Caenorhabditis elegans: one gene and its partners. The protein of the gene in region 2 interacts with the protein of the main gene of each other region in a pairwise test. Each region holds a gene or a part of one and is shown on either strand. Other genes may lie near its edges.

Region 1 (9,504 bases), on a different chromosome or scaffold from region 2:
TTCGGTATAATACCTGAAACATGAAAGGCTCCCCACTGGGCGAAAAACTCATAGTAGTGTCCGGCGAATCGGGCGTCCTTTGGCATGGTGGTATTGATGTACTTCATAACAGCTGCCCCACTTTGGAATAAGGAACGTATTGCTAGACCGCTGTGAACTGGCTTCAAATGTTGCCTTTTGCAAACTTTCCCTGATTTTAAGAGTGGGATTCACAAACATGCTGGAAACTTGTTTGAATATTTTTTTGAAATAAAAAATCAAGTAAGTTTTGTCTGAAAAACGAAACTCCTTAATCATCTGAAATTGTTCCCAGGTTCACATAGCATCTTAAAACCAAGACTAGACGGTAAGAAAACTATTCGAAAGAAATTTTCCAATCGTTTATGTCCGCTAAATATATATTGAAGAGAAGTGAAGTCTTGAAGTGATTTCAAATATCCTGAATCTACGTAGGTTTTGGTATTGTTAACACTTTGTAAGCTTATTTTGTCCCCTCGGGGACTGGGCCGAGCCCGGCAGCAGTGCAACGCCAGGACGACCCTTGGGAAGTCGGAGCAAGCCCCGAGTCTTCCCTAGGTTCCAAAAATCATATAACCTTTATTACACTCATTCGAGTGTATACCGTAGGTTAATACGATAAGAACAGATACTACACTTTGATCTTAGCTAATAAGCCGAAGAAGCGATACTGAATGGAGGAGAGGGTAGGGGTAGTGGGGAGTGGTGTGCCGACAACTCATGGGTGCGCGTGTGACACTATGAAATGACGGAGGTGTAAAGAGAGTGAGAGAGGCGCAGACATTGAACTTCAACATCTGCGCCTTTGCTCTCCAGTTTTAAATTCAATTAATCTCAGTACATACCTAATGAATTATTGAAAAATTCAAATATTAAATTCAAAACGAGTAAACTACAAATATACTGAAATATGTCATGTTCCCTGACCTATCTGTTTCTCTAACCCTCTCACTATTTCGTGACTCACCCTTCTTTTGCACACCTCCGTCTCTTCTCAGTCTCCTTATCTCTCAAGTTTTGCTGCTGGGTACATTTAATTTTGTCATATGATATTATTATTACTTGTTTCTAATACTTTCAAATTCAAATTAAACTTTTAGTGTTATTTTCAGATTTCGAAATACTTCTTTATATATTTTTTAGTTCTCTCTGACGCAATTGTCAATAGAGTATTTATTCAGCTGTCAATGCCAACCTGTTCCTTTTTTCAAAAAAAATATAGAAAACTAGTGTGTTAATCACTTCCACAAACATTTTACTCATTAGCTGCTTTCCTCCTTCCGTTAGGAAAACGTGTATATAACTTCTTTCAAGACAGTTTTTTATCGATTTTTTAGTTTTCAATGCAAAAAATTCCAAATTTTTGAAGCTTATTTTCTAGACATATTATTGATTTTTGCTTAACTTTTTTTAAATTTCAATACTTGGTTATGCTTTTATAAAAGAGAAAATAGTCAGTTTTTGCCTAATTTACATACAATTGGTACAAAACTTTAAAAAATGTTAGTTTAAAAAAATTTTCGCAGCAATCGAGCTCTACCGCAATTATATGTTAAGGAAGGTGTAATTTTGGAAAAATAATGCAAAAAGACTCCAGTCAAGTTGTGCGGTAGGGCGTGCCTTATACAAGGTAATTAGATAATAACCTGCAGCCGACATTTTTCGAGAAATGCTCATTTTTCAAGGGGGCTTTTCCTTTGGTTTCTGCTTACTTTCTCAGTTTAGTTTTGCTCAAAAAAGCTCAGAATTTCAATTTTCAAATCAAGCATGTTTCAGACAATGCCAGACAACCACAAGGATCCGCCAGACTTCAACAACCTCGAGATGAAACTAGAGGAACGAATCGAATTGTCACGGGAAGATCAGGATATTCAAAGTACGAGCAGCTCCTATCCACACTGTGAAGCTCTCGATCACATAGTCTCAATGGAATCCACGTACGATTTTCACCGTCAAATGGCTCACAAGGACCTGCAAAAGCACCGACAGGAATATGAGAAGGCTAGCGAGAAGATTCTGGAGCTTCGGAAAAAGCTGACCGACTGGAATATGGATCCGAAGAAGAGAAAGTGGATCGAAGACGACCTGGATTCACTGGTCAGGAAACAAGAAAGCGCCCTATCCCGTATCAGACTAGCGGAAAAGTGCACAAAGAGGGATCTGCGGAATGATCCACCACCAGCATATCAGCCGGATGATCCATTGAAGGATTTGAGGAAGAATTTTGAGAAGAAGGAGAAGCCGACATGGAATGATGTGGAAAAGAAGAAGAATGGAGTTTTTGAGTTTCACTGATATTGCTAGTAATTCATATTTTAAGAAGATTTGCTTTATACATATTTTTATACTTATTTTTTACATATTGTCCAAAACCTATAAATTTTTCTGGTCACTTTGTAGTACATAAGTTCAAGTCAAATACAGACCCGTCGGATGTCAGCTGCTGTATTTATTTCGGAACAGAGTTATGTAATTCTGATATCAAAAGTCTAGACAACGTAATCGCAACATATTGTTAGTTGAAAATATTTTACAAACTATCATAGTGTTTGAGTTATACATCTTTGCGCAATGACAGTGCGGCAAATTTGTCAAATTTGCCGCACACCTCTGTTTTGCATAACTGAAGCAAATCACAACCGAAATCGAATAGAATATTGAACACTGTAACATATATTTCTATCTTTAAATATATTCAGGTAAACTGTAACCGATAAAAAATTAAAAATTTGGAGCCTACAGCAAATTGCAGTGCGGAAAAATTTTTTTCGACAAATTCGGCAAGTCGACAAATTGTCGGTTTGCCGATTTGCCCGAAATGATAACTTCCGGCAAATCGCCGATTTGCCGTTTGCCGGATATCAATTTGCCGGAAGTTTTTAGAGGGCTTTTTTATAAGACGGAAACACTGAAAACTGTGCTTTTTTGAAATTTTTTTCCCGTTTTTTTTTCTTACTTTTTAAAAAAGGTGTAGGAACATTTACAGGATGCGTAAAATTTTGCCGGCTGAAATTGAAGTTCTGAAATTTAAAAAAATGTGCAAAACCACAAATTGCCGAAAATTTTCGACAATTTCCGTTTTTCCGGCAAATCGGCAATTTGCCGGTTTACCGACTTGCCAGAAATTTCAATTCCGGCAATTTGCTGATTCATCAGAAATTTCAATTCCGGCAACTTGCCTATTTTCCGGAAATTTCAATTCCGGCAATTTGCTGATTTATCAGAAATTTCAATTCCGGCAACTTGCCTATTTTCCGGAAATTTCAATTCTGGCAATTCGCTGATTTTCCGGAAATTTCAATTCCGGCAATTTGCTGATTTATCGGAAATTTCAATTCCGGCAATTTGCTGATTTATCAGTAACTTCAATTCCGGCAACTTGCCTATTTTCCGGAAATTTCAATTCCGGCAATTTGGCGAACTACCAGAAACTTTCAATTTTGCCGGTTTACCGATTTTCCGGAAATTTCAATTCCGGCAATTTGCTGATTTATCGGAAACTTCAATTCCGGCAATTTGGCGATTTGCCAGAAATTTTCAATTTTGCCGGTTCACCGATTTTCCGGAAACTTCAATTCCGGCAATTTGGCGATTTGTCAGAAATTTTCAATTTTGCCGGTTTACCGATTTTCCGGAAACTTCAATTCCGGCAATTTGCTGATTTATCGGAAATTTCAATTCCGGCAATTTGGCGATTTGCCAGAAATTTTCAATTTTGCCGGTTCACCGATTTTCCGGAAATTTCAATTCCGGCAATTTGGCGATTTGTCAGAAATTTTCAATTTTGCCGGTTCACCGATTTTCCGGAAATTTCAATTCCGGCAATTTTCTGATTAGTCGGAAATTTCAATCCTCCGGCAATTTTGCCGATTTGCCAGAAATTTCAATTCAGGCAATTTTCCAATTTGTCGGAAGTTTCAATTCCCGCAATTTTCCGATTTGCCGGAAATTTTAATTCCGGCAACAGTTTTATATGACCTCTTTCTTATTATTTGGTTTTTTAATTTAATAATAAAGAACAAAACACAAATTCGAAAAATACAAATTATTTATTTTTACACAACAATAAATAGACAACACACTTAAATGGTCATATCCCGGTTGTTTTAAGATTTATCGAAAAACTACCAACAAACAAAATATTGCTGATGCCTTTTTCAATAATTTTGTAGTTGAACACTTTTCGATATCACTTATTTAAACCAAGATATAGGATACCAAAAATGAAATAGAATACAATTAAACTAAAAACAAATATTTACATTTAAAAATTCAAGCTCCATTCGAATAAGTTTCTCTCGGCGAGTTCTCACAATCATAGATCCCGCGACGACGATTGCGGTATGGTTCCCACGTTCCATTTCTTCCATACGGATGCCATCGTCTCCCATGACGCTGCTCCCACTCGGCAAGCCCATCTCGACAACGGCATGGCGAGGAGTCACTGGAATTGGTTGATGATTTAGAACTCACCGAGTCATCGGAAGAAGAGGACGAGGAAGAATCATCAGAGTCATCAGAAGAGTCGTCAGACGAAGTGTTCGGAGGTTTCACCGACTTTCTCTTCGATCTCTGTTTACGAGCTCGTCGAGCTCGTGGAGCTGGAGATTCAGAGATCGGAAGTTCCGAAGAACGTGGATATTGACACCCTTGGGTGTCTCTACGATCTTGAGAAGTTAACGTGGAAACCGTGGAGTCGGAATATCTATCTTCATCGTCCTTATCTGAAAGTTCAGATTCTGAACTATCAGATGACGAGTCGAAGAATCCGTCTCCAAGAGGAAGTGGACGAGTGCTGAGCTTTCTCATTGTAAATGAGATGCTCTTCAAGGTGAGAGGTGCTGGTTTTATAGGTGGGTTTTGTTGACGAATAGTTTCGAATTATTTCGAAGAGTTTCGAAATTAGTCATGACTTTGATAAGGTGGGCAAATATTGATGACGATATGTGTGTAGTATTGCCAAATTTGAGGAGAACTCCTTGCCGTTTGATCTCCGAAAATTGGGGTCACACAGAACATTTCTGGAAGTACATAGAAGTCTATGTTTCCCGCAATTTTCAGAGGTCAAAAAGTAAGGAATTTGCAAATTTTTTTGCAAATTTTTTTTCCGGCAAATCGGAAAATTGCCGGAATTGAAAATTTCCGGCAAATCGGCAAATTGCGGAATTGAAATTTTCCGGCAAACTTGAAAGTTACCGGAATTGGACATTTTCGGCATACCGGCAAAGTGACAAAATTTAAAATTTCCGACAAATCATCAAATTGCCGGAATTGGAGTTGTGGCATACCGGCAAATTGACGGAATTGAAATTTCCGGTAAATCGTAAAATTGCCGGAATTGAAATTTCCGGCAAAACTGGGGCAATTACATAACTCTAGAAGGAGAACATTTTTGAATTCATAGCTCTTATATCTCTATAGTAAAATTTATGCTATAAATTTATATAAAAAACGTCCTAAAATTGTATTTTGCGCAGCAGGACCCATCTTTGTCGTGCTTTAAAGTTTCAAAAATAGAAACTCATTATTGACACACGAATTTATTTTTAAAAAAATACAAATAATAATAAATTTTATATTTAATTTGCATACTACAAAAACAAGTAATTTTTATCAAAAATTGCAAAATTCCGGTAGTCAAGTTAGTTCGTATGGGGTGGTTGAGAATTGATAACCCATACGATCCGGACCGCAGGAATTCGAAAACTGTTGGGGAGGAGGAAGTATATATACTAGAGGCAATGCAAGCGGTGGACGTTTCTCGAGGAATGGTGGTGGGTTTCTCTGGGTCTCTAGTAGTGTACAAAATGCGCTCCACCGCAATTCGATAATTAGGAGACTGTGTCAAACAACTTTATGTAAGGTGTAATTTTTTGGGTAAAAAATTGACTAATGATTTGAAAAAATCTATTTTAAAAAATCTGCATTTCAAGCCTATATATACGAAATCTTATTTTGTTTCTGTAATTTTTATTATTTTTCGAATTTAATTGAAAAATGCCTAACTAAAATTAAACGTTTCTTTCTAATCAACTTGCCCACCAAATTCCAACAATGCAAAACAGGAAGTCAAGTTGTTGCCGATGGGGTGGTTTCTTCAGATAACCCACCGACTCCGGACCTATGCCTGATAAAAAACCTTCTATCAACAGAGTATATATACCAACGGTCTGTTAAGTGGACGACGGTGTGTTGATAAGTGGCGTTTCAATGGAGCGCACTTGCAATAGTTGTGAAATCAGTTAAAATTTTGCGCTAGTAATTCAAATCCACATATATTATACATACATTACTTTATTTTTACACAATTAATACAGGCATAGTTTTGCACTCGATTGAACTTGTCCGGGATTCTTCTAGGCCGCCGCCGGCGCCACCCCCTTGTTCGGGCACATTGCTTCAATGATATTTTCGTCGGTACATTGACTGTCTTCACAACAATATCATGTCCACAGCTCTTTTTAAAACCCTCCGCCGCAAAGCTGACCATATCGATTTCTTCGGCTTCCTCCTCAAACTTTACTCCATATCCTTGCGAAGCGTACTTGCACAGAGACTCCTTGATGTCCAGATCGGTACACTCGTCCTTGCAGCACATCTTCCAAAGATCCACATCACTGCTGCGATCTGAAAAGCGATGATTCGGTTTTAACCTGCTAAGAATGATATAATAACATACCTTTCTTCCCACTGCAAGCTTCAAAAGCGCGATGAACAAGATGGGATCCACAGGAACGATAGGGAAGGAAGGCCGCATTTGGGACCGGGTGAATTGGATTGGCATTGGTGAGCACGGTGAGCATAGCAATGCTCAAGGCAATTGGCAGGAAAGCAGCCATGGTGTTCAATCGTCTATCCGGTTCGGGATGAGAGTTGAGGTATGATTCTTATTTTGTTTTCGATTTTGAGTGGGGGGGGGGGAGGGAAATGCTTACAATTATGACCTATGGGTCACGTCTTTTACGTGGAGTGTCAATTTGGGAATAAGTTGAGTGACTTTTCTTATAGTTTTTAAAGGCCAAGTTAAAATTGAATGTCTATTTAACAACTATACTTTATTTTTTGAAAATTGATTTTTCACTATTCTGCAAGCTTATTTTGTCCCCTCGGGGACTGGGCCGAGCCCGGCAGCAGTGCAACGCCAGGACGACCCTTGGGAAGTCGGAGCAAGCCCCGAGTCTTCCCTAGGTTCCAAAAATCATATAACCTTTATTACACTCATTCGAGTGTATACCGTAGGTTAATACGATAAGAACAGATACTACACTTTGATCTTAGCTAATAAGCCGAAGAAGCGATACTGAATGGAGGAGAGGGTAGGGGTAGTGGGGAGCTGTGTACCGACAACTCGTGGGTGCGCGTGGAGCACTCTTTGTTTCGTGGCCTAGAAAAGAAAGACAATTAGGTATGTCTTTGAATTAATTAAAAATCTTTATATAATAAATTAATTAAAATATGAAAAGTTCAAAGAAAAATCAATAAATTAAATATTAGAACTCGGTGAAGTGAATAATTTCGAAAGTCCATAGGATTTTTACACGTGTAATCGGGGGGAGAAACTGTTGGGGAAACGTTATTAATTAGCTGCAACTTTTTCGGGCTCTTTGGCGTCGTCTGGAGTCGTGCTGAAGCCGGAGTCCTTGCCCTGAAAGTAATTATAATTGTTTCAAGCGGAAAATTTTAAATTTCCACCAAAACTCACCTCTTCAAGAGTTGTCAAATTGGATTTACTCAGGAAATCCGAGAGCTCAGCAGCTTCTTCATCATTTTTCAGTGTGCTCGTCGAGCCATGACACCTTGGAGACTCGATTTCCTCATCACGGAAGTTCTTCGTCTCATCCTGATCTTCATCATCATCATGGAAGAAGCTTGAGCTCGATTGTTGTGGATTTTGCTGTGAAATTCCAGAAGTTGATGGGCCTTGAGATGTATTGAGTTCTAGAAGTGGAAGGGTTGGCGGAGCCGGAACAAGTGGAGCCAGGTAGCTGACGTCACTTGCTGGGACTAGGGATTCGCCTGGAAAATGGGAAAATTGAAGAAAAAAGTGCAAACATTTCGACATTTTTAGCAAAAGTTCTAGCCAAATTTCAAAAGTTTTGAGCAAAATTCTCAGAAAAATCGTCGATTTGGAGCAAAATTTTAAGCCAAATTTTGCCGTTTTTGAGCAATACTCTCATGCAAAATTTGACATTTTTGAGCATCATTGTTAGGGAAAATTGAAATTTCAAATTTTAACCGGAGCTACACGTGAAATTTTTTAGAAAAAACGTCGATTTGGAGCAATATTTTGAGCCAATTTTTGGTATTTTTGGGCAATATTTTAAGCCTAATTTTGACATTTTTGGAGCGCAATTGCAAAATTTTCAACCAAATTTTGATATTCTTGAGCACAATTTCCATCCAAATTTCGACATTTTTGAGCCATGTTTTCAGTCAAATGTTGACATTTTTGAGCAAAATTTGTTAGGGAAGATTTTAATGTTTAACTTTTAACCGGAGCTACACGTGAAAATTATCTGAAAAATCGTCGATTTGGAGAAAAATTTCCAGCCAAATTTTAACTTTAAAGTATTTGGCCTAAATTTAGGCCAAATTTTGACATTTTTTGAGCACAATTTTCTGTCAAATTTCGGCATTTTTTGAGCAAATTTTACAACCAAATTTTGACATTTTTGGCAAAAAGTTTAGCCAAATTTTGATATTTTTGGCAAACATTTTCTGTCAAATTTTGGCAATTTTAAGCAAATTTTCAGTCAAGTTTTATCATTTTGAGCGCAACTTCCAACCAAAATTTGACATTTTTGAGCAAAATTGTCATCCGGATTGTGACATTTTTAGCGAAATTTTCAGCCAAATTTTGGCATTTTTAGAGCAAAAAAAATTCAGACAAAATTCTATTTTTCAAAACTAAAATTGTTTTTTCTTCAATTTTTCGCTGCACCATCTAGTATTGCCAGTAGGCGTTAAATACCTGCCTGCCTGCCTGACCATAAGGCGACCTCCGCCTGCCTCTCGCCTCAATCCGTGCCTTATGCTAAAACATATGTGAACTTTTTTTAAAAATTGCTTAATTAGATTTTCATTTTAAAAAAAAGTAAAAATTCAAAAAAGAAGCGAAAGACAGGCGTTTGGCGGGCAGGTTTCAGGCAGGCGGCAGGCCCTCAGAAAATTTCAGCAAAAAATTCAAACTCACCAGCTCCCCCATGAGTCGTATCCATTCCAGACGTTGTTGGAGTGTTCGAAGAGGAAATCGGATGCATAGGTGCCCCCATGAAAGAGTACCTCTGCGCGGAGCCCCCAGAATTCGGCTGAAACTGGAACATCTGCGGGAATTGTGGAGTGGCCGGTGGGAATCCGAACTGGGGCATTATGGGATTTCCAAACGGGATTTTATGCTCAGCTTCTTGCCATTTCCGCTTAAAATACTCGGTTTTCTTCTTCTCCTTATCCAGCTTCGCATTCGACTGTAACAACATTTTCACGAGG
Region 2 (10,475 bases):
GTAAACCAGACATACTAAATTCAGCAGTCTCCTGAAAGTTTTTTTCGAAGTTTTCGGTCCATATCAGATGAGGTTTTCTTTTTTCCTGAGTTGCAAAACAATATAATCAAAACCAAGTTTTTTCTGGTCCAACTGCAAGCATAAACAAATTTACTATATGTTTATTTTTGACGATTGACTTCATAGTTCCAAAACATTAGTTTCAAAAAATTCCTACAAAACACGACTCGGATAACCATCCAAGACTTCTAAAAGTTATCAGGAAGTTGAAGTAAAGCTAGGCATAAGATAACTATTAGTCATTGTTAAATACATGCATAGTAACCTGGTATAGTCTAGCATAGTGAGTATAATATAAATTGCCTATCCTCTAACAACTACTTATCACAAGTTCAAACGTTCAGATCAGGGGTGTGCGGCAAATTTGCCGAATTTGCCGTTTGCCGAGCTCGGCAAATTTGCCGAATTTGCCGAGCACGGCAAATTTCAAAAAAGTAGATTTGCCGAATTTGCCGAGCTCGGCAAATTTCGAAATTTGCCGCACACGTCAAAAATTTGACAGTACAATTTTGACTAAAACTGTTGATTTTTTCGCCAAAAGTTTAGTAAAATGACAACAAATTGAGTTATTTTGATGTTTAAGCAGACACACTACACCTAACTTGTTCAGAAACCAGAGGTGTGTTAAGAATTCAGTAGTTTTGGTGCTCCAAAAAATATCAAAAAATATATAATTTTTCCGAGTTTGTTAAGCACGGCAAATTTGCCGAATTTGCCGAATTTGCCGAGCTCGGCAAATTTGCCGAATTTGCCGTGCTCGGCAAATATTGGAAAAATAGATTTGCCGAATTTGCCGAGCTCGGCAAATTTTGAGATTTGCCGCACACCCCTGGTTCAGATGTTCATAAACAATAGTTTTTCTATAGCTGAAAATAATTTATCACACATACCAAAGCAAAGTTGCCTTGGAGATCTATTCTACTCGGCAGTTCGCTACTCCTGGGGCGCGCACGTTTTGCGCCTGGCGCGCGATAATAAGGGAGTCCGTCTGGCGCGCGCACCTGAAGCGCAAAGGGCGCGCTCGAGGCGCGCATCGTATGCGCACTGAATGCGAATTGAGTCTGGCAAGAACGAAGCAGGAACCAGAAAATAAAATAAACGTGCTTTTTTCTGAACTTTATATACTAATAACTATGTAATCAAGAGTATGAATGTGTAATCGTTCAAAATGGAACATTTATTGGCTTGAGGTTGCAGTTGTCAAATGGGACACAATTAATAGGAAACGTATGGTGATATGTTTGTGTATATATTGATCCGTATATAGAAAGTATCGGTATATAGGCACTTTATAGTTGTTTTAACTTCCCAATCCTCAAATTCACGTAGAAAAAACATAATCCTCACATCGTCGACGCTCTGTGCGCGGATCGTCCACGCTCTGTACGCGCCCCGTGCGTGATCCGTGCGCGCATCCTCCGCAGATCGCGGCCGCGGCCGAGATTTCAACTCTGCCAAATTTTTCAAGCTGTGTTTTTTCAGTTTTTTTTTCGACTTTACACATTTTCTTTATTTTTTATTAAATTTCAATTAAATAATAATGAAAAAATTTGCAGAAAGTGCATAAATGCTGAGACGAATCACATCTTCAGAGGATTTAAACGAATTAGTTCATCGGTAAGATTATAAAAACGATTTCCTCGAAATGAGTAATAATTTGATAACAACCAGGTCTTTGACCTCTTTTATACATAGCAATTATTTATAAACATAATTTGATATTTTCAGAAAAGCAGCAAAGGTATGGAGATGAATTGGATTCACCACCTCCGCACGGCCTATGCACGAGGGGCCTCTGAAAAGAAGATTTTCGGAGTTGTTTAATTTCCCTGATTCCTGTAAGTTTTTTTTTTCTTTTTCAAATGAACATGAAAAATGTTTCAATGAGTGAAATTAACTTTTTTATTTTTCAGATCCATCAAAAGAACTTCAGGAACTCCAACAAAGGAAGAAGAGAACTTGCTGCACAACGGAAAAATTTTTAATTTTGAAGTTTTTAAATTTTTAAAGCTTTTCACTATAATAAAGTTAAATCTAAATATACTCAGTATTCCACATTGCCAATGTATTTGATAAAATAATGAAGGGATGGGGAACGAGCCGTGACAAAATTTGTATCAAATGCGCGGGGCGCGCGCAGAGAGTGCGCCGGGCGTTCGAGACATTATTACTAGCGCGCTCCGTCGGCGCGCCCGCTGCGAAACGTGCGCGCGCCAGGAGTAGCAAACTGCCGAGTAGTAACATGTATATGTATCTCATATAACATGAGCACAGATTATGCAACGGGTAAACAAAGCTAGAAAAATCGAAGCTCAAACAAGTAATTGGAATAGAAGTCCGATGTTCAAAAGCTTGTTACAAATGTTTTACTGCACCATAAAAATCTGATAAAAATGATGGTAAGTTTAACAATATTAGTAGATTGAGAAACTTCGGCTTTAAATTTTCATATGCATAGTTTTTAAAAATCATTTCGTTTTTGAGTTAGCATCCAAATTACAGTTCAACTCTACCACGGTCAAATTTGTTTAAAAGTTTTTTTCAGTTTTTTTCTACAAAATTCCCTAAAAATTCACTCAACAACACTAAAAATTGTTCTTTTTCAGAATATTGGTTTCGAAGAGTTTCAGAAAAACAATTTTTGACCAAAAAAAAGGATGGCTGAAAAAAAAAAGGAAAAAATAAATAAAAAGTTGTCTAAATTTGTTGAAAACTGGTAATTCAGGTATGCTGAATTCAGAAAATCTTGGTTTAACCCATCAAAAACTATTAAAAGGTACCAAAATTGGGCTATTTATGTTGTTAAAATTCACAATTTTGAAACTCCTCTAAAATGGTTAATTTTGTTGTTAGAAGACTCAAAATTGATTTCCGAACACTAAAAAGTGTCCTTTTTCAATTTTTTAATGGTTTCGAACATTTTCAGAAAACATTTTTTCTGTCGAAAAAAGCCTTGGAACACCAGTATTACAGCATTATTACAAGTACGTTTGACCGATGTTTGTCTGCTAGGTACACATGCAAACAATTTTGAACCTACGAAGTAGACTGAAATTTATATAACACTGCCACTAAATTAACATCTTCATATCGAAATTTGTTACTAATAAATAGCAACCAACATCCAACTTCACTTTAGTCAATTCGTCATATTTCAATTTTCCATTACTCCGATTTCATATTTTGCAACCTCTAAAGCATAAACCACACCGAATACTACAAACTCTGCGTGTCTCAAACAAAAGCAAACTACACACTCATTGTGTCAATTCCTCTCTCTCTCTCTCTCTCTCTCTCAAATTGTTCGTCGATCAACAGAAAGTGGTCGAGATGTCTTCGCCTTTTGGAAGCGATCAGTTGGCCTTTTGGGGAAGCCTAGGAGTCTGGTGGAAATTGGAAAAAAACAGACGGAAAGGAACTCATGTTTGTTCAGTTGCCTAGGCAATTGCCTTCCTGGAAGAATCAATGTTCTCTTTTTTTTATTTCACCTGAAAATCTGAAAAAAAAACAAAAAACATAACACGATTTTTTTATTTATTTATTTACAACTTTATTGATCACAAATAAATATACATTATGCACAGTATAATAAGCATCAGAATTAAGAGTTTATGGGGAGAACGAACGATGTCCATTATGATGATGGTGATGGCAGTGACCGCCACGACGATGTGGAGGCCAGAATGGTGGTGGTGGTGGGCATGGTGGCCAGAATGGTGGAAAGTGATGATGTCCATGATGCGGTGGGAATGGACGGCATCCATGATGATGATGGTGGTGGTGGCCGTGACGAGATGGAGAACGTCCATCATGGTGATGATGGTGTGGTGGTCCGTGGTGTCCATGACGCCCTGGGCAGTGTGGTGGCCCGTGACGTCCTCCGTGCCCGTGTCCTCTAGGAGAGTGGGAACGGGATCCATGTCTTCCATGGCGTCCTGGACAATGTGGTGGGCCGTGGCGTCCTCCGTGACCATGACGACCTCCTGGAGATCCGGAGCGGGATCCATGCCTTCCGTGGCCTCCATGACGACCTCCACGATGATGCCCTGAGCCTCCGTGACCATGACGACCACCTGGAGATCCGGAGCGTGATCCATGTCCTCCGTGGCCTCCATGACCATGACGACCTCGTGGAGATCCGGAGCACGATCCATGCCTTCCGTGGCCTCCATGACGACCTCCACGATGATGCCCTGAGCCTCCGTGACCATGACGACCACCTGGAGATCCGGAGCGTGATCCATGTCCTCCGTGGCCTCCATGACCATGACGACCTCCTGGAGATCCAGAACGGGATCCATGGCGTCCACCGTGTCCACGACGTCCTCCCGGTGACCCCGATCTTCCACGATGCTCAACACCTTCGGACTTTTGCTTCTTCAGCTGCTTCAACTCTTCTTTCTTTCCTTGCTTCTCGGGCTCCTCATGTCTTCCGGGAGATCGTGATTCAGAAGATGATGATGACGAGCTGGATCCTGAGCGGCCACCACGTCCTCCACGTCTTCCACGAGATGGAGATCGGGAAGATCCAGAAGAAGAAGAGGAACTTCCAGAACGCTCACCTTTCTTCTTGCGATCATTTTCGTCATCGCTGCTTTCCGATCCTGACGAAGACGACTCGGATTCCGATCTTCCATGAGACACCTTCGAGAATGAGGAGCTGCTGCTGCGACGATCATCCTCATCGTCTTCGCTCTTCAGATCCTTCTTCAGACCCTTCAGATCCTTCTCACCAGTTCCCTCAGCGTACAGCTTCACCACAAACCTCGAGAACTTGATCGCCTCCTTCAGATCCTCGGCTGTCTGCAGGAAAATCTGATCCTTCTCCCGATCGATCCAGAAAATGTTGGCAAAGTCGACCTTGAACTCGGCGAGCTTCTTCTTGAGCTTCTCGAGCAATCCGGCGACCTTCTCATACTTGATAGAGAATAGATGAGCCTGTTTCGAATCTTTAGCAGTAAGTTTGAAATAAACTTCGCGCCCCGGGCGCTCGCGGCGGTGGTGATGATGATGTCCGTGAGCCATCAGTAGCGACTCAATATGACAAAATAACTGCATCCGCTCTCGCTTTTTATACTCGGCCACTTGTTTTTCGTGAGATCAGCGGCAAAATGGGTGGAGTCACTGTGAGAGTAAGACGGCTAGAGCAAATACGAGTTAGAGTTTTTGGCGCTGAACACTTGCGCAACCTCACTAGTGTAGTGGAGAAAGCACGTGTTTTTTTTTGGGGGGGGGGGGGAAAGGATTATTTGTGGCTGGCGGGAAAACAACTTTTGAAAGAGATCTTGATCATTCATACCAAAAAAAGGCGGGGTATCATTGGATAAGAAGAGCATACGAAACAAAAACTTAAATTCGAGGGATTAGTAGAGAGGAGAGAGGAATATTCAAAAAATATTACACGATTGGGAAAAATTCGAAAAAAACAGTTTCGAAAACAACTTGGAACAATAGAAAATAAGAATAATAATAATAAGAATAATGATAACGGGATTGATATTCTACACACACACACAAAAACCCAGGAAGACGAGAATTTGGGCGAAAATTAGGGGGAAAATTTAAGAAAAAGGAAAACAAGAATATTTATAATAGGAATTATTCGATTTTCGCCATTTGAAGAATCTTCTCGCACACCTTCTTGTACATGAACGCGTCACCTTTCAGACGCTTTCTGCGGATTCCGACCTGAAATTTTAATGGATTATTTTTTGGGTCAGGTAATGGGAATTTTTATTGGGTAAAAATGGATTTTTTGGCTATTTTTGTTTTTCTGGCATGTTTTCAGTTTTTGAAAATCGCACATACATTTTTTAGTTTGTGTATTCTGTGTTTTCTGGTTTTTTTGGCAAAAAATACAATTTTTCCGTTTTTTTTTTGCTGAAAATCACTAAAATTCAACTTTTAAAAAATTATGAGAAGGTGTACAATTTTCCAAAATATTAAGTTTTTCAAAATAACGTTTCAAAATTACACAATTTTTAAAATTACACAAAGCTTTTTCGTGTTTTTGGCAAAAAATGTTTTAATTTCTTTCGGAAAAAAAATGTTTTCTTTTGGAATCAACCCTACTTTTTGCCGAGCTTTTCACAGTTTTTAGATTATTTTTTTGCCGTATATTTACGCATTTACTGATAAAATCGCGAATTCATCATTAATTACCAAAATATCAAGTTTTTCAAAATAACGTTTCAAAATTAGACAATTTTTAAAAATGTTTTTTTAAACTCAGATAAACTGGAGTCACGGCAGAGCGACAGAAAATCACTTCTAATCAGCAAAAGCTAGTAAAGCCATAGTTTATCAGCAGAGAACCACTGCTAATTAGCAGGTCATTGCTAATTAGCTAAAAAGCACTGCTAATTAGCAGAAACCCACTGCTAACTAGCAGAACATTGATTATTGATTTTATTTTGTTTTTTCTTCGTCGTATTTCACATATTTCATTTTTTTGACCTTTTTTATTGTATTTTTTGTGTGATATGTTATCAATATGTGTTAATTGTTAATTCCAGTGTGTTTTTCAAAGATTTGTATCATTCCCGGCTAGAAACGGAGGATTATGGCCAGAAATCCAAGAACAACAGTTCGAAGAATTTTGAATTCAGCACCCCGGAGTCTTCTGATTCAAAGCGTGACAATAGTTGCTCTAGGTAAATTTTTTAAATGATTTTATTGGGACTAAATAACTACTTTCAGACCCGACGGACAATAATCATGGTTCTCACCAGCCGGGAAGCAATGGTCCATCAAATTCAAGCACCCAGGCCGATAACTTCGAGACGGAAACAACTGCAGATGAAGAACGACAAAAGGAAGATGGTGTAGAAGATGAACTCGAAGACGAAGAAACAACAGGATTCATTGATGAAGACGGGGAAATTCGTTATCCGGTCGATGAAGTGGGAAATTACGAGATCGATCAAGAAGCTGAAACCGATGAGTCATTTTATTTGGACACTCAACGCGATTCTTCTCTATGCGACGAGCGAAGTCAACTGTGTCGTTCTCTGAGCGATCAAAATCTGAGAACAACTTTTTTCCTCATCACTACTACCAACTCGAAAGCAGCCATTTTGAGATATCTACATTTTCACAATGTTTCACAAGATAGCATTCTCAGAAAATTGCTACTGAATGACTCTCATCTAACACTTGTAGAAGTATGTAATTTATGTGCGCAGAATATCGAACTGTAGGTTTATTATAAAACTAAATTTCTGAAATATATCATTACAGATGCAAATGTGAAGATATGCAAGAGAAATGCCAACTAATTTTCGGAGATCTCAAGAAATGGCTCGAAGTTATATTGAATAGTTTTGCGAATATCATGATGAAGACTAAAACAACTATTTTGGAAGGATATAATAGCTCCAGTCCAATAAATAAGGGTATCTTTAAAAAAAAGCTACTCAGCGAAATGGCAGATAATGAAATGTGGATGCACTTCGAGAGTAGCTTCGACGGAATCAAAGTACATAAAAATGGAAAGTAAGTATCTTAGTTTGATGGCTCTAAAAATTTTAATTGGTTTTCAGTCAGAACATTTGGCCATATAGTTTACTCAATTTGGATCTCGAAGACGTTCATCGAGCTTCTCCCCAGGCCCTCATTTTAGCAGCGTTATTCATCGGGTTCAAAAATCCGACAACGAAAATTCATGATAGACTTACACAATGGATTCTGCTCCAAATGGACGAACATGTCTTCTTCTCAGAGGGAGTGGCCTGGAAAGCGGATCTCACGTGTGCCAATCATGACGATCCAGTGAGATGAAAATTCAGAATTTTGAAAACAAGTGTTTGGTTTCAGGCACGACGAATCGTATACAATCAGTGTGGACTCCGATCATCAGGTTCTTGCAACTTTTGCTTAAACCAGGAAACTGAGTGCAAAATCAATGATGAGTATACAACACGTAAGCATCATGAAAACTATTATTAAAAAAATAATCACCTCTTTATAGTACGCGAAAATCTCACCGGATCGTGCCCTTCGACTATGAACGATGGCCTTCGTCAAAGAAACCAGCATTCTCATTTCCACAAGCATGTTTTGTATATGCATCTATGCCCGGTTGACTTGTTTCATTGTTTTGAAGAAGGAATTTTAAGCAATATCAATACAGGTCACTAGTAATGCCCGAATGCTCCCGAAACGTGTTCATTTTTCAGCATTATTCTCCAAAGGGAAATGGAATTTGTTCCCGTCAAAATCGGTGGATTTTTCATCAACACCTTCGCTTCCATCTCGATTTCGTTCGTTGTCCGGCAAAGCTTCACAGTGTACTGGTTCTGAGAAAGCACTGGTAAAAAGATTCGTTCAGCTAATTTCTGCAAAGTGAACACACATTTAGATTTTCGAGTCGATAGTTGTAGCAGCTGCATTTTCCGGTGAACTTGGAGGTGTATCATCGGCTATCATTCTCAGCATTCATGGACTTTATCGTCTTTGCATAGAACCCCAATCAATCACTGACGAGACTCTTCATTTGAAAGTTAGTTTTTATTGTTTTTGCTTGAAAAAAGTAGACCATTCTTTACAGATTGAACAAATCAGCAAATCCATCGAAGTTTTAATTGTGAAACGAGCACCGGAAATGTTGAATGGGATCAAAGTACATGTATGGAAATTGTCGTCAACTAACACCCATTACTATTTTGCAGCAAGTGTTGTACCACCTTGCAAGAATGACTGAGCTGTACGGTAGCTTATTTCCATTGTCAACTCAATGGTTCGAGTACTTCTATCACACTATTCAAAGAACTTTAGTTCCGGAAATTTACAATGGACTGGGCATGAGCATCATGAGAAAGTGAGAAAATTAGAGCACAATAGGGAGCAAGAATGTTTTTACAGAATGTCGGCTCTTCAAGAGATCAAAACCGAAGCTGCATTCCGTCTACACACAAATCACCAGTTTCGAACAGAAGCGAACTTGAAAATGTGCTATGAACTTGGATTATTAAGGCGACTCAAACGAATATCGGTTGTTCCGACCCCTCCGCAGTACCAACAGTTTTGCGAGACCGGGGATGTTTTCCTTAATGTTGTATACCACGACGGCATCAGATATTCGAATTATTGCAACAAAAAGACAGATGACTCAAATGTTACGTTTATCGAATATGCTCGCGTACGATTTGCAAAGATTATTGGGATGCTGTTGAAGGAAAACAACACTGATCTTCGTTTTATTTTGAAGAAATACTGCAACACAAATGATCATTTGATTGACATATCGAACAAGTTATATGAAGAGGATGTACCGCAAATGCATATTCAAAACTGGGTTGATTCAGTTTCAAAATCGAGTTTCGGAGGTCGTGTCACGTTAACAAACACAGTTGTCGTGGTTTCCGCCGATTCCATTGTTGGACATGCAGTGGTTGTGAAGCGAAATAACAACTGTGTGGCTCTTCCATTTTCTCGCCGTATCAGTCTATCTTGACTTTGATAACCACATATAGCTTTGAATTTGTTTGTCTTTTGTCTGTCCCCCCCCCCCGCTCGAAAAAATGTCTGCACCTCCCCCTTCTTTGACAAATGTTTGTCTCTACCCCTTGCTCGAAAAATGTTCTCATTATGTTCTTGAGGAATTCTTTCAGATTTTTAAAAGTTGTTTGTTTTAATATTTTCATGAATGCTTATCCGCTTTCAATTAATTTGTGTTTATTTGATGTGATAATCTGTTCTGTTCAACCCTGCTTATTTAATCTTATTTTATTAACAGATCTAAAAATCAATTTCAGAAAAAGTCATGTCATTCCTCGAGAAACTAGTGGCAAAATACGAGCCCATTAAAGAAGAAAAACCAAAATTAGTTCCAAAGCCGACAAGAAAACGGCAACCGGAAACTACGGAAATCGTTGTGAAGACTCGCCGTATTACTCGCCGAAATGCTAAGGTTAGTGGAAGGAGCCACATAACATTAAATGTGAACCCAAAGCTAACCTATTCCTATGAGTTTTAATATTTCTGTCATTTTCAGGCACCTGTAAAAGAAGAGGAGATTGGACATCAAAAAGCTCAAATCACGATCGTAGATGACGAAGAGTTTATGGAGCAACCTGTACAGGAGCCGATTGAGATTGAAGAGGAGCAACAAGAAGAATCTCATCTGGAAATTGCTCTTCCGGAGCAACCAAATCATGAGCCAATGCAATCAAGTCCATCGTTGCCTAGAAAATCGTTCAAACCGGATATGCATCCAATTGCGAAGGTGTTTACTTCTGCTAATTTCGAGTTGCTCGGAAATAAATTAATTTCAGAAAGGCGGAAAAATCTGTATTGTAGATCTAGGACTTACATCTCACACACTCCCCACCGAACAAACTCCAGGATTCTTGGTAAGTTTTTTTTTCCAAAAATCTGGCATGATCAAAATTGTTGACTTTTAGAAAAGACTCGGA
Region 3 (13,725 bases), on a different chromosome or scaffold from region 2:
CAACATTTGAGATTTTAGCTAAACATATACCATTTTTTCCAAAATTTTGACTTTTTTTTGATAAATTTTCAGAACGTCCGATTACGAAATTTGGTAGTTTTGGACCATTTTTAATTTAAAAAAAGAAGCAAAGTCTCAAATTTCGGTACTCCACCTTTAATTATTCTGTTACACTATTGATTTGTTGGTTTTCTTTCTTTTCAAGTTAAATAAATTCAAATTCAAAAAAAGTCAAAGTGAACTTGTTGTGTTCTCTCTTTCTAATCATTTCTTTCTATACCTATCGTGATAAAACTCTTCTCACCTTGCCATCGCTCAATACACCCCACAAATAAGAAAAAACCATCATTTTTATGGACGACAGCATATAAAAGAAACCACGTTTTCCATTTTCACAATGGTTTCAGTTTTCGGTTTTCTTTTTTTTTTCAATTTTTTCATACTGTTCGACTTTAACTTTTTCTGTTTTCTATATAATCAGACAACAAGGACATTTTAAAGTATTTTCTAACGCTAGTTCTTTATCGGTTTTTGTCTCTGAATTTCATCATTCATTATATACAATACTTCTTATTTTTGAATTCTCTTTCGAAATAGTGGCAGTGGGGCACACACTGCGTAGCGCCCTTTCTGATTTTTTTGATTTCTCTTGTTTTAGGACCCCTGACATGAACTTGTTATTTCCTAATAAATTTTGCCATGAATTTTTGTTTTATTTTTAAAGTTTCTTCCTCATTTCAAAAAATACATTCAATTATATACTTTTGTTAATTTTCCTATACGGAGCTTTTGCAAAACTCTTCTCCTCTTCTTCAACACTGACTTTTTTTACGGAATACGTGCTCGAAATATTCCTAAATATTTCAGATTTTCTTGGTCAGCAACATGTCCGACAATGAGAATGGAGAGAATTTGAATGATGAGTTTGACAAGTGTACACTAGAAGATAAGAAGGATATCAAAAAAGAACCTTGTCAGGATGCAACGCCAAATGGTTTTGTCGCTGATTTCCGTCTAATGCCTCATCAGGAAGCTGCGCGCGATTGGATGATTGATAGAGAGGCACAGGAGCCATCTGGAGGAATTTTGGGACTTGCTCACGGACAAGGAAAAACTGCAATTGTCATTGCGCTCATTCTGGACCAAAAGATCAAATGCGCTTCGAACGACAAAAAATTCGAACAGAAATCTCCAACTTTGATCATTGTTCCAAAGCGTATAATTTACCAATGGTACGACGAGTTTAAGGATCGATTAGAAGAAAACGCGCTGTCTGTTTACTTGTACTATGATGATGAATTTAGTGAAGCTAGAAAGAATATTTCAGCAAGCGAACTTCAAAAATATGATGTCGTACTTACTACGTACAGAAATGTTCCGGTAAAGGAAAAAGATGAAACCGGTGAAAAAGTGAGCAAGCAAGTTTTGCAAAATATCAAATGGACGAGGATCGTACTAGACGAGGCGCACAACATTCGGGACTCAAATACCAAAAAATCCACGGCTATTGCGACACTTGCCTCAAAAAATCGTTGGTGCGTTACCGCCGCACCATTCCAAAACTCAGAATGGGATATTTGCAATCTTATTTTGTTTTTGGGTAACAAGCCGTTTGGAGAAAATGTGAAAGGTCCTGAAAAAACCCCGGAAAATTTGAAAAAGCTTAAGGAATCAACAATGGAGCTTTTCCGCGGAAACAACTTGGTTTTTAATTCAATAATTAACACCGGAGAATTGTCTGCAAACGAAAAGAAGGCTTACGATATAATAGAGGATGCTCACAAAAGGTTGGAATATAAGAAACACTTCACCTAATATCATTTCTGTATTTCAGGTTTTGTAAAAAAGGACAATCATTAAAGTTGCTGGCTATGTTACAGCAAGCTAGCATTCATTTTCATAATCTGGCACCAGAAGAACCTCTTAAAAAAGCTATGGACAAATTCATGGATGAAGAAGAAAAGTTCAAAGAAGAAGAAAAATCATTTAATATGGCAGAGAAAAATTTTGAGACTGCTTGTTCCGATGATGAAAAACAAGCATTCGAAAGTGCCAAGACGACTTTCGAGACTGCAAAGGAAAAATTCACGAAAGCAACTGAAGAATACACATTTTCCAAGGAAACCTTGAAAAATGTTGCAAAATTGGCCAAAAATGGCCAATTTCCCAAAATTGGCCAATTTCCTGAAATATTCGATATTAAACATCCAAATGCCAGAATAACAAAGACAATTAATATTATACAGGAAGTTTTAATGAAGAAAGAGAAAGTGTAAGCATTAGCATTTGTTGATACGATGACAATTCATCTAATAGTTTCAAATTTTAAAATTGTCGTTTGTGAGTGGAAACCTGTGTTTGATGTGATCGAATTTCAAATTTCAAAATTACAAAATATCGGTTGCCGTAGAATTGTGAAAACGACCAGTGCAAAAGATTGTCGAGAAATAGCGAAGAAGCTGAACGACAAAAATGACAGAACAGTCAGCGTAGTTTTCTTGTCAGAGAGAGCAGGGGCAATCAATTTGCATGGTGCGACACATGTCATTTTGCTAGGCATGCACTGGAATCTGGCTCTTGAACAAGAGGCATGTAGCTGCGTATGTAACATTGCACAGAAGAATATTGTCACTATTCACAGGTACATTTTTAGTTATCTATCTGGAGGAATAATAAACAGGCAAAGTTTCGAGATTTTCTTGCAACTGTTCAGTTTTTTTTTAGTTTAACATTGTCATCTCTAACGACTGTAATTTCAGAATAAAGGTTGCTGGCACCAATGAGGATGACGTCGAAAAAGCTCAAGACGACAAAAGCGATAGATCTGTCGGAGCAGAAACACCAATTAGAGAGTCAACGCCAATTTCTCTCAAGAAATAATCATTTTGTCGTGATAACTTTCGAATCGTTCATTATTTTTTAAGTTTCCGGTTTGGCAAACTTTTGTAAAACTTTTGTATACTCAAATGTTGTAATTCACTAAACCAACTAATTTTTTAAAACATTCATTACACAATTAATTATCAATCATAGCAGTAGCCGCATGACTTTCAATCAGACACCAGTTAACACCACGTCGAATCTTGACATATCCATGAAGACCCCAATCGGAATTCCACGAGTTTCTAACCAACCAATACGGGACACCGTCATCTGATGTACCATAACCAACAATTGCTACGGAATGCCATTCCGCTGGTGTCATTTGGTAACAATCTTCGGATTGAAGTACTCCTGATGTGTACCATTCAAAGTTCTCACCCACTCGGAAATCTGGAAAAATTTGAAAATTTTTTGGAAACTTTTTTTTTGGAATTTTTTTTAATTTCAAAATCTTATAACTTATCCAGTTTTTGAGATATTAACTTTTTCTTTATTTCAAAATGTGCGCAAAATGATTCACTATCAGTCTGCAAAAATTTCAGCGTTCAGCCATTGTAGACCACAGTACCACAGGACTTTTCGCGGTCAAACCAAAATTTTGAAAAAAATTTTTTAATTAAAATTTTTAAAATTCCAAAATTTCGTAACTTTGTCAGTTTTTAAGATATTTACCTAATTTTTATTTCATAATGTGTGCAAAATTTTTTACTGCCAGCTTATGTAATTTCAACTTCAAGCCATCTCAGACTACAGTACTCCAAGAGTTTTCGTGGCGGGACACAAGTTTTCAAAAAAAAAAATTTTTTTGCAAAATTTTTTAAATTTCAATACTTCAAAACTTAGCCAGTTTTTGAGATATTCACCTAAGTTAAATTTCAAAATGTGTGCAAAATCTTTTACTATCAGGTTATAAAATTTCAGCTTCAAACAATCTCAGACTACAGTACCACAGGACTTTTCGTGGCGGGGCCAAAATTTTGAAAAAAAAAATTGCAAAAATTTTTAAAATTTCAAAGCGTTATAACTTTGTCAGTTTTCAAAATTTTTAGATAATTTTTAACTTGACAGGAGCGCATACTCTTTCTCTACTAGAATTCAAAGCTCAGAGCCATTACCCAAGACTTTTCGTGGCGGGACCAAAATTTTGAAGAAAAAAATATTTTCTTTGCAAATTTTTTCCGAAATTTAAAACCTTATAACTTTGTCAGTTTTTAAGGTATCTGACTTATTTTTATTTCAGAATGTGTGCAAAATTTTTTACTGTCAGCTTATAAATGTTCAGCTTCAAGCCAATTCAGACTACAGTACCCCAGGACTTTTCGTGGCGGGACCAAAATTTTGAAAAAAATATTTTTTGCAAAAATTTTTAAAATTTCAAAGCAACATATCTTTGCTAGTTTTCAAGATTTTCAGATAATTTTTATTTTGACAGGAGCGCATACTTTTATTCTACTAGTTTGCAAAATTTGGGCTTCAAGCCATCCCAGACTAAAGAACTACAGGACGTTTCGTGGTGGGACCCAAATGCTAATTTTTTCGCAAAATTTTCAAATTTCAAAACCTCATAATTTAGTCAGTTTTTAAGATTTTTTTTTCGTAATTTTTGCCAGATTCACATGTTTCAGGCCCAAACCATACCGGATTACTGTACCCCAAAACTTTTCGTGGCGAGACCCTTCAAAAAAACTTACAAACTGCTGTAGGGATATGATTGAGATACAAATTCTCCATAATATCCTCCTCTGCATAATCTTGATCAAATCGATAGACATTTAAAGTTTCCGGCTGGATTACTGTACTTTTCTCGTCGCCCACGCAATTTCCAGTGGTATTCGCCCGATATTCCTCGTAAGGGTAGTCACCGTCACTGGACTGTCCCCGTAGATGCACCATTTTCAGACCGTTCCTTGGATCACCTCCCACGCACCCAGGAGTGTCTCCTGAATCTGCACAATCGCAAATTTCCTGGTCCGAGAGACTTGTGAAGGACTTGGAGTAGAGGGTGTTGGCAGCTTCGGTGATGGCAGTGGTGGCGAACGCCCAGCAGCAACCGCATTGTTCTGAAAAGTTATCAGTTGAAAAGAGCGTAAAATTTAAAATGGAAATAGTTTTTGAAACACCAAAAAATAAATATTTTGAAGGGAGTTATGAAGGTTTGAAGTTGGTGGCCTAGAATTTCAGATGAGGCCACCGGTATTTGGGGGAGTTTTTCAAGTTAACAATTAAATTACAAACCGATTGGCTTTTACAAACTCCAAATACGTCGATTTTGAAGCGAGTTATGAGAGTTTGAAGTTGGTGGCCTAGAAATCCAAATGATTGTTTTCTAGGCCATCAAAATTTAAGTAGGTCATATTGAACGTAAATTTCATGGTGAACAAAATTATTTTTACGGATCTCGAAAATATCAATTTTCCGCCGAGTTATATGGGATTGAAGTTGGGTCCTAGAAATCCAATTTGGTGTTTTTCTAGGCCATTAAAAATTAACTAAGTTAATTTGATAGTAAACTTTATGGAAAGATACATGCTTTTAACAAAACCCGAAAATATCAATTTTCCGCCGAGTTATGACGGTTTCAAGTTGGTGGCCTAGAAAGTTTAAAAACTCTTCCACGACTATAACTTTGCTTAGAAATTATAGTTTTCAAACCTGAAATTGTAAAAACATTGAGTCTAAGTTATTATTGTTTTCGAATAATTGGTGGCCTAGAAAACCTGAGCATGATTTTTCTAGGCCACCAACTTCTAACATTCATAACTTGGCGGAAAATCTACATAATAAAATTTTGCAAAAACCAATTTATTTGTCTAAAAAATTGCAATAAATTTGACCTACTTGATTTTGATGGCCTAGAAATCCAAAAATTTCTGCATTTCTAGGCCACCAACTTCAAACCCTCATAACTCGGCGGAAAATCAATATTTTTTCGCCAATCAAAATCTGTGTTTACTCAAATTTTAAGCTTTTTCAAATTAAGCATACCTTGATCTTTAACAGGACCAACAACTGGACTCCCATCGACATAAATATCACGGAGGTCGAAATAGTCCGGAATATCCCCACTTTGACGTTTTGAGCGTTTATTATGATGATTACGACTGCCACGTGGATGCCTCGGCTTGTAAATTGGAAGATCCGTGTGGTTTTTGGGATGAATCTGGAAAATTTCCAAATTATTTTTTTTTAATTTTCGTTTAAAAAAAAAGAATAATTAGAACTTAAAGAACGCACCGTGAACATTCTAATACAATTTTCAAATTTCAAAAATATTGATTTTCCGCCGAGTTATGAAAGTTTGAAGTTGGTGGCCTAGAAACCCAAAATTTTGGATGTCTAGGCCATCAAAAATTAAATAGGTCAGATCGATTCCAAATTTCGTAAGTTGGTTTTTGTAAAATTCAGAAATATTGATTTAAAGCCGAATTATGGAGGGTTGAAGTTGGTGGCCTAGAAATTAAAAGTTAGGCCACCTGCTTCAAATTCTTGTAACTTGGCTCAAAATCAATATTTTTGAGTTTTACAGAAACAAACTTAATCAACTTGAATTTTGGAATCAATTCGGCTTATTTAAAATTGGTGGCCTAGAATTTTTCAGGTTTCTAGGCGACAAACTTCAAACCGGCATAACTCGACGGAAAATAAATATTTTTCAGTGATTCCAAAACTAACGTATATGTCTCAAAATTTGAAATCGATTTGACCTATTTGATATTTCGTGGCCTAGAATTTCTAATATTTGAGTTTCTAGGCCACCAACTTCAAAACGTCATAACTCAGCTCAAAATCAATATTTTTCAGTGATTCCAAAACTAACGTATATGTCTCAAAATTTGGAATCAAATTGATCTATTTAATATTTGGTGGCCTAGAATTTCTGATTTTTGGGTTTCTAGGCCACCAACTTAAAACCGTCATAACTCAACGGAAAATCAATATTTTTCAGCTATTCCAAAACTATCGTACTCTCCCTAAAATTTGAAGTCCATTTGACCTACTGAATATTGGTGGCCTAGAGTTTTTAACTGTTGGGTTTCTAGGTCACAAACCTCAAACCGTCATAACTCGACGGAAACTCAATATTTTTCAGTGACTCCAAAACTAACGTACTTTTCTCAAAATTTGAAATCAATTTGACCTATTTGATATTTGGTGGCCTAGAATTTCTAACTTTTGAGTTTCTAGGCCACCAACTTCCATCTCTCATAACTTGGCTCGAAATTAATATTTTCAGTGGTTCCTAAACTACCGTGATTGACTTGAAATTAGGAATAGATTCGGCCTATTTAAAATTGGTGGCCTAGAATTTCTGATTTTTGGATTTTTAGGCCACCAACTTCAATCCTTCATAACTTTGCTCAAGATCAATATTTTTCAGTGATTCCAAAACTAACGTACTTGCCACAAAATTTGGAATCGATTTGACCTATTTAATATTGGTGGCCTAGAATTTCTGATTTTTGGGTTTCTAGGCCACCAACTTAAAACCGTCATAACTCAACGGAAAATCAATATTTTTCAGTGATTCTAAAACTAATGTACTCTCCCTAAAATTTAGAGTCTATTTGACCTATTTAATACTGGTGACCTAAATTTTCTAAATTTCCGGTTTCTAGGCCACCACCTTCAAAACGCCATAACTCGGTTTAAAATCAATATTTTTCAACCAATCAAAAACCATCTTGCGCAGAATTTTGTGCGCTTTTTGAAAAAACTCCCCAACCTTTGAATTTCTGGCGCTCAACTCCTGTCGATTCTTATCAGCAAACTTATTCCACCCAAAAGTCACATTTCGTCCTTCTCTCCTTGCTTTCGCATTAAGTTCCTGGATTTTCTGATGATTTTTCGCGAAATGAGCCAACCGGCGGTCTTTCTCCGCCGGGGTACGGTAGTGTTTCTTATGGTGCATCGTGAAATTGTTAAAATGTGACAGTACCTCCTGAGAGTGTTGGGTTACTGTAGGTTGGCATAGAGAGAGTAGGAATAAGGGGGAAATTATGAAAAGTAACATTTTTCAGGTTTTTACGGGGTTTTCGCTGGTTTTTATAGGTGGAATCACGCCGATCAACATGTTCAAGGTAACAGGTAACATAAAATGATAAAATATGAAAAAAAATTGTTCTTGTTTCAGTGTTACTCTGAGCCCTGAAAGTTTAGTTCTCCAAAAAAAAAAAAATTTTTAATCTAAAAATTTAAAAAAAAATGTTTTTTTTTTTTTTTAATTCCCTCAAAACCCTTCGCAATTGTTCTAAACCAACTTAGCTATACTAATTCAAACATTAAAAAAATATTGACCCTAGCGGGGGTTCGAACCTATGACCCTCCGCACATAACCATACCTCTTCCCGCCTGAGCCACTTTGACCCAGTTTTCAAACTGCTCCAAAATTCGCGTAATTTAGTTGTTTTAGGCTCAGAATTTCACGATAATTCCAGAAATTTAACTAGTTTTGATCTACGTTCATGTTGAACAGAGTTATGAGTAAAAAACTTTAAATCGATCAATTTCTTGGCTCAAAATTCGAAAAAAAAAGTTGAAAAGTTAATATGGGTGTCAAAAAATGTCTAAATTTTCTGCAGAATTTGGAAATTTATGCTAAAATCGCTGAAAACTTCAAGAAATTGGCAAAAAACCAAAAGAAAACACATTTTATCGATTTTTTTCAAAAAATTCCCTTAAACCCTTCCTCCCCTTCGCAATTGCTCAAAACCAACTAGGCTATACTAATTCAAACATATAAAAAATATTGACCCTAGCGGGGGTTCGAACCTGTTACCCTCCGAACCATAGCCTTCTCTCTTCCCGCCTGAGCCACTTGACCAAGTTTTCAAACTGCTCCAAAATTCGCGTAATTTAGGTGTTTTAAGCCTGAAATTTTACGAAAGTTCCAAAAATTTCACCAGTTTTGCGCTATGGTCATGCTGAACAATGTTATGAGCAGAAAAACTTTAAATTATTCACTTTTTGGCTCAAAAATCGAAAATTTATATCAAACCAAATTTTTTTGTCTATTTTCAGGAAAAAACATGGAGTAAGCTTCGTTTTTATGTTTAAAAAAGCTAAAATAAATGAAAATTTAAGAGAAAAAAACCCGATTTTTGAAGTGAAAATCCAGTTTTTTGGGGGAACATAAAAATGGAATAATGAGGTTTTTGAGCAAAATTTGATAATTTTAAAGTGAAAAATTGAGATTCAAAGAGGAGAAAACAGGCGAAAAATCACCGCAAAATTTCAGTGAAAATGCTCATTTTTTGACAGAAAATTGGCAAAAAGTGACAAATTAAAGTAGACATATGTAAAAAAAAAAAAAGGGGGTTTCAGGGGTAAAAAATGATGAAAAATTCGGGAAAATTACAAAAAAATGGATTAAATTTACGATTTTAGGGGTAAAAATGATGAAAATTCCAAAAAAATCCGAAAAAATTATCAAAAAATTCTTCTTCACATCAGTTGAATATTTCCATCTTCAACCAATTGATGTACCGATTCGAACGGAATCAAATGACACGATTCCGGTTCCATTTCCAAAATCACTTCTCCATTCAAATCCTGCCAATCCGGAATCGCAACGTTGCCCACGTCATCTGACGTCACTTTTGCGTAAACCATGACGTCATCATGATCGCCACGTGGAACTGGCATCTTTTTAAGCGCTGCTGGCATGAATTCTGAAGAAAATTGAGAGTTTTTGGGAAATTTTTTTTTTTTTGAAATTTTGAAAAAAAAAGTTTTTTTTTGGGAATTTTGAAATTTTTTTTTTTTGAAATTTTGAAAAAAAAATTGTAAAAATTGCCACGTGGCATTAAGCGAAATTTTGCAGTTTTTGAGAGAAAAAAAAACTGCAAAAAAAATCGAAATTTTCCAGATTTTCTGAGCTTTTACGCAAATTTTTCTGAATTTTTGAGGTAATTTTCTAAAATTTTAGCGAAAATTTTAAATTTAATTTTTTTTTAACTTAAAAATGAAACTTTTGAAATGCAAAAAATAAGATTTTTATTGATTTTCCACAAAAAAAACAAATTGCAAAATTTTAATTTTTCCAAGGAAATTTTTTTTTTGAAAATTCCAAAAAAAATCGATTTTTTTGAAATTAATTTTAAAATTTGAAAATTTCTTAAAATTTGTGAATTTTTATGGTCAATTTTACCAAAAAAATTGTTTTTTTTTGAAAATTCAAAAAAAAAAATTTTTTTTAGGTCAAAATAAATAAAAATTCAAAAAAAATTCAAATTTTGAGAGAAAAATTTGAAGTTTCGAAAGGAAAACTTTCAAAATTCAAAAAATCAAAAAAAAAATTTTTTGACATTTTTTTTTTCAAAATTGTAACAAAAAAATACATGAATTTTCAAAAAAATTTTCAAATTAGAAAAAAATTAGGCTTCTAGTGAAAAATTGGCCAATTTTTACGATTTTTTCAATAAAAAATCGCAATTTTCAACCAAAAATCCATCCGCCGTACCCAGGACAGTTTTCTGAAAAAGGTTCGACTCCGCTAGAGCATATTCTTCGGCGAATTTCATCTCAGATTCCGATAGTAGATCACTTTTTCCCTCTTCTTTTCGTTTTTTGTGTTGATCGATTGCGTCGTGTGGATTTGATTCGATTTTTTGGAGGCGGCATCTGCAGAAAATTGTTCGAGAAAATTAGTGAGAATCTACGAAAATTTGGGAATTTTTTGGAAATTTTCGTGAAAAAATGGGCAAAATTCGATGAAAATTGAGGATTTTAGCGTGTTTTTGAATTTCAGGCACTACAAACTACAAGTTTTGGGCGCTGCTAATGAATTTTTGGTCCATTTTTTTCATTTTTCGCCCTTTTTTTCGGCAAAAAAGCGCCAAAACGTCGAAATTTGCGCTGCTTTTCAATTTTTTTTTCCATAAAAAATCGATTTTTGTACAAATTTTTAGACAATTTTTGCAAATTTTTCTGCAGAATATAGCTTTTTTTCGATTTTTGATTAATTTTCGGCTGAATTTCCAAGTTTTTCCGATTTTTTGATACTTTCTCAGCAAAATTTCGCATTTTTCGCCGATTTTTGATTAATTTTCAGTTAAAATTCGCATTTTTCGCCGATTTTTCACTATTTTTTCGTGAAAATTCGCATTTTTCGTGAATTTTCGGCTAATTGTCACTCTAAATGTGAAGTTTTCTCGATTTTTAACTAATTTTCAGTGAAAATTTGCAATATTTCATGATTTTCTCCATTTAGACGATTTTTAATCAATTTTCAGCGAAAAAATGCATTTTTCGTGATTTTTTATCAATTTTCTGCAAAAAATCGCATTTTTCGCCGATTTTTAATCAATTTTCAGTGAATTTTTGCATTTTTCGTGGTTTTCGACCATTTTTCCGTGAGAATTCGCGTTTTTCTCCGTTTTTTTAACTAATTTTCCGTGAAAATTCCCATTTTTCTCCGTTTTTTAATTAATTTTCAGTGAAAATTTCCAGTATTTCATGATTTTCTCCATTTTGGACGGTTTTTAAACTAATTTTCAGCGAAAATTCCCATTTTTCTCCGTTTTTTCACTATTTTTCGTGAAATTTCGTATTTTTCGTGGTTTTTCGCTACTTTTCTCCATTTTCGGGGCTCATTTTCCCGCCGCACACCTAACATAATCCGACGTAATAAACCCAATGCGTTGAAGCTCGACTCGATGAACTGAGATTCTCAGCTGCATTTTATCCGTTTGTTTTCCAATATTTTCCTCCATTCCCTGAATCTGATCAAGTAGGATTTCGACAAGTTCCATTTGAGTTGGGAGAAGGCACGGAGCACACAGCTCATTTTGCCACGTGGCTGTCATTTTTCGGAGCACTTCTTCCGGTGTAGTCATCTCATCGTATTCGTCGTCGTCAAAATCCAAAAAGGTTGTTGCAGAGTCGGTGACGGCCATTTTTTTTTTTGGAAATTCTGGGGAAATATATTTTTTTAATTTAAATTTTTTTTTAGTTGAAAAAATTTTTTTTGGGAAAAATAATATTTTTAGTGCCAAAATTGAAAAAAAAAATTTTTTTGGGAAAAATGTTTTTTTTTGAAGAAATTCATCATTTTTAGGTGAAAATTAATTTTTGAAAAAATTTTTTTATTATTTTTTTGGAAAAATAATTTTTTTTTGTGCTAAAATTGAAAAATTTTGATTTTTTTCAGGAAAATTCACATTTATATATATTTTTATTTAGTTTTTATGGGAAAAATAGTTTTTTAATGGAAATTTTTAATTTATTCGAAAAATTTGATTTCTCCTTGTTTTTTGGCAAAAAAAAATATTTTTTCAAATTTTTTTGGAATTTTTTTCTCAGTTTTTCTATCAAAATTTAGTATTTTTTGGGAAATGGAAACTCTGGAAATATATTTTTTGAACTTTAAATTTTTTTTGGAAAAATAATATTTTTAGTGCTAAAATTGAAAAAATTTGGTTTTTTTTGTGGAAAATTAATTATTTTTAAAGGAAAGTGAGAAATGTTAATTTTTTTCAGTAAAAATTGAATTTTTTTTTTCAATTTTTCAGACTAATATTGATTTTTGGGTGAAAAACGTTTTATCATAAAAATCGGGGTTTTTTCCTGTAAAAAAGGAAATTTTTTCGGAGTTTTAAATTTGGAAAATTAAATTTTTTTAAATTTTTGTATTTTATGGAAAAAATATTTTTTAGTGGAAATTTTATATTTATTCAAAAAATTTGATTTTTTTTTTGCAAAAAATGATTTTTTCCAATTTTTCAGATAAATATTGATTTTTCTAAAGAAAAAAACCAATTTTTTGAAATTTTTTTCCAGTTTTTCGATTAAAATTGAATTTAATTGGAAAATAGAGTTTTTTAGTTTTATATTTGAAAAAATATATAATTTTTAGGTGGAAAATTAATTTTTTTCAGGAAAATTCACATTTATATATATATATATATTTCAAGTTTTTATGAACCAAATAAGTTTTTTTTTCGTAAAAAAAATATTTTTAGTGGAAATTTCAAACTTATTCGAAAAATTTGATTTTTCCATTTTTTTTTGCAAAAAAAAAAAACGATTTTTTCCAAATTTTCAGAAAAATCAATTTTTTGGAATTTTTTCTCAGTTTTTCTATCAAAATTGAATAAATTTCGAAAAAATAATTTTTGCTGGAAAATTCATATTTTTATATATTTTTTTCGGACCAAAAATAAACTTTTTTGAAATTTTTTTTTCACTTTTAAATTTCAAATTTTAAAATTTTATATCCAAAAATATAATTTCTTTTAGTTTTTTACAGCAAAAAAAAAATCTGAAAATCCTCAAATCCCGATTTAAAAAAAATATATAAAAATCATTGGAAAAAACCGCAAAATTTCAACAAAAAAAAATGCAAAAATTCGTCGAAAAAGTGTGCGTTTTCATCATATAAATAGAAAAAAAGAAAGAGAGAGAGTAATATGTGTTGGTGGGGTGTTAAATAGCACAAGATACGAATAAATTAAAATTAAAATCGTTAAAAAAAACCATGAAAAAAAGGAGATACCAGCAGCGTGGAGTTCGGAGGGGTGTTACATATATATATATTTCAGAGAGAGAAAAAAAGATCATTTTGGTGGTTTTTTTACGGGGGAAACAGAATGGGGGTAAATATGTATATAAGGGGGTGGTAAAACATTTTAAAAAATGCGATCGGAGGAAATAGGATTAAAATTGGGAAAATTCAGTGAAAAATTTTGTAAAAAAAATTCGAGAAAAAATGGAAAATTTTGAGGACAAAATTTCCAAAAAATGCTCAAAAATTCGCAAAAAATCTGAAAAAATAGGGAATTTTTGAAAAAATCCAGAAAATTTTAGAAAATTCGGATAAATTTTGGGAAAAAATCAGCGAATTTT

Evidence for each region.
Region 1: the proteins of W03G1.5 (region 2) and F08G2.5 interact in a two-hybrid assay, tested with the Caenorhabditis elegans proteins (one large-scale study listed by BioGRID).
Region 3: the proteins of W03G1.5 (region 2) and Y113G7B.15 interact in a two-hybrid assay, tested with the Caenorhabditis elegans proteins (one large-scale study listed by BioGRID).

What each region holds. Positions count from the first base shown.
Region 1 is NC_003280.10:13,828,805-13,838,308, forward strand, and holds F08G2.5 (WW domain-containing protein), read right to left. Parts: upstream 4,828-9,504; coding exon 4,291-4,827; downstream 1-4,290. Other genes in the region: F08G2.4 (uncharacterized protein), read left to right, coding at 1,798-2,313; ins-37 (INSulin related), read right to left, coding at 6,308-6,645, 6,698-6,857; F08G2.7 (uncharacterized protein), read right to left, coding at 7,595-7,663, 7,721-8,034, 9,212-9,504.
Region 2 is NC_003282.8:501,400-511,874, forward strand, and holds W03G1.5 (PB1 domain-containing protein), read right to left. Parts: upstream 5,086-10,475; coding exon 3,670-5,085; downstream 1-3,669. Other genes in the region: pig-1 (Maternal embryonic leucine zipper kinase), read right to left, coding at 5,659-5,748.
Region 3 is NC_003283.11:20,225,950-20,239,674, forward strand, and holds Y113G7B.15 (Pept_C1 domain-containing protein), read right to left. Parts: upstream 7,895-13,725; coding exon 7,607-7,894; intron 6,044-7,606; coding exon 5,869-6,043; intron 4,944-5,868; coding exon 4,575-4,943; intron 3,274-4,574; coding exon 3,017-3,273; 3' UTR 2,990-3,016; downstream 1-2,989. Other genes in the region: sld-5 (DNA replication complex GINS protein SLD5), read right to left, coding at 9,325-9,551, 10,343-10,503, 11,491-11,777.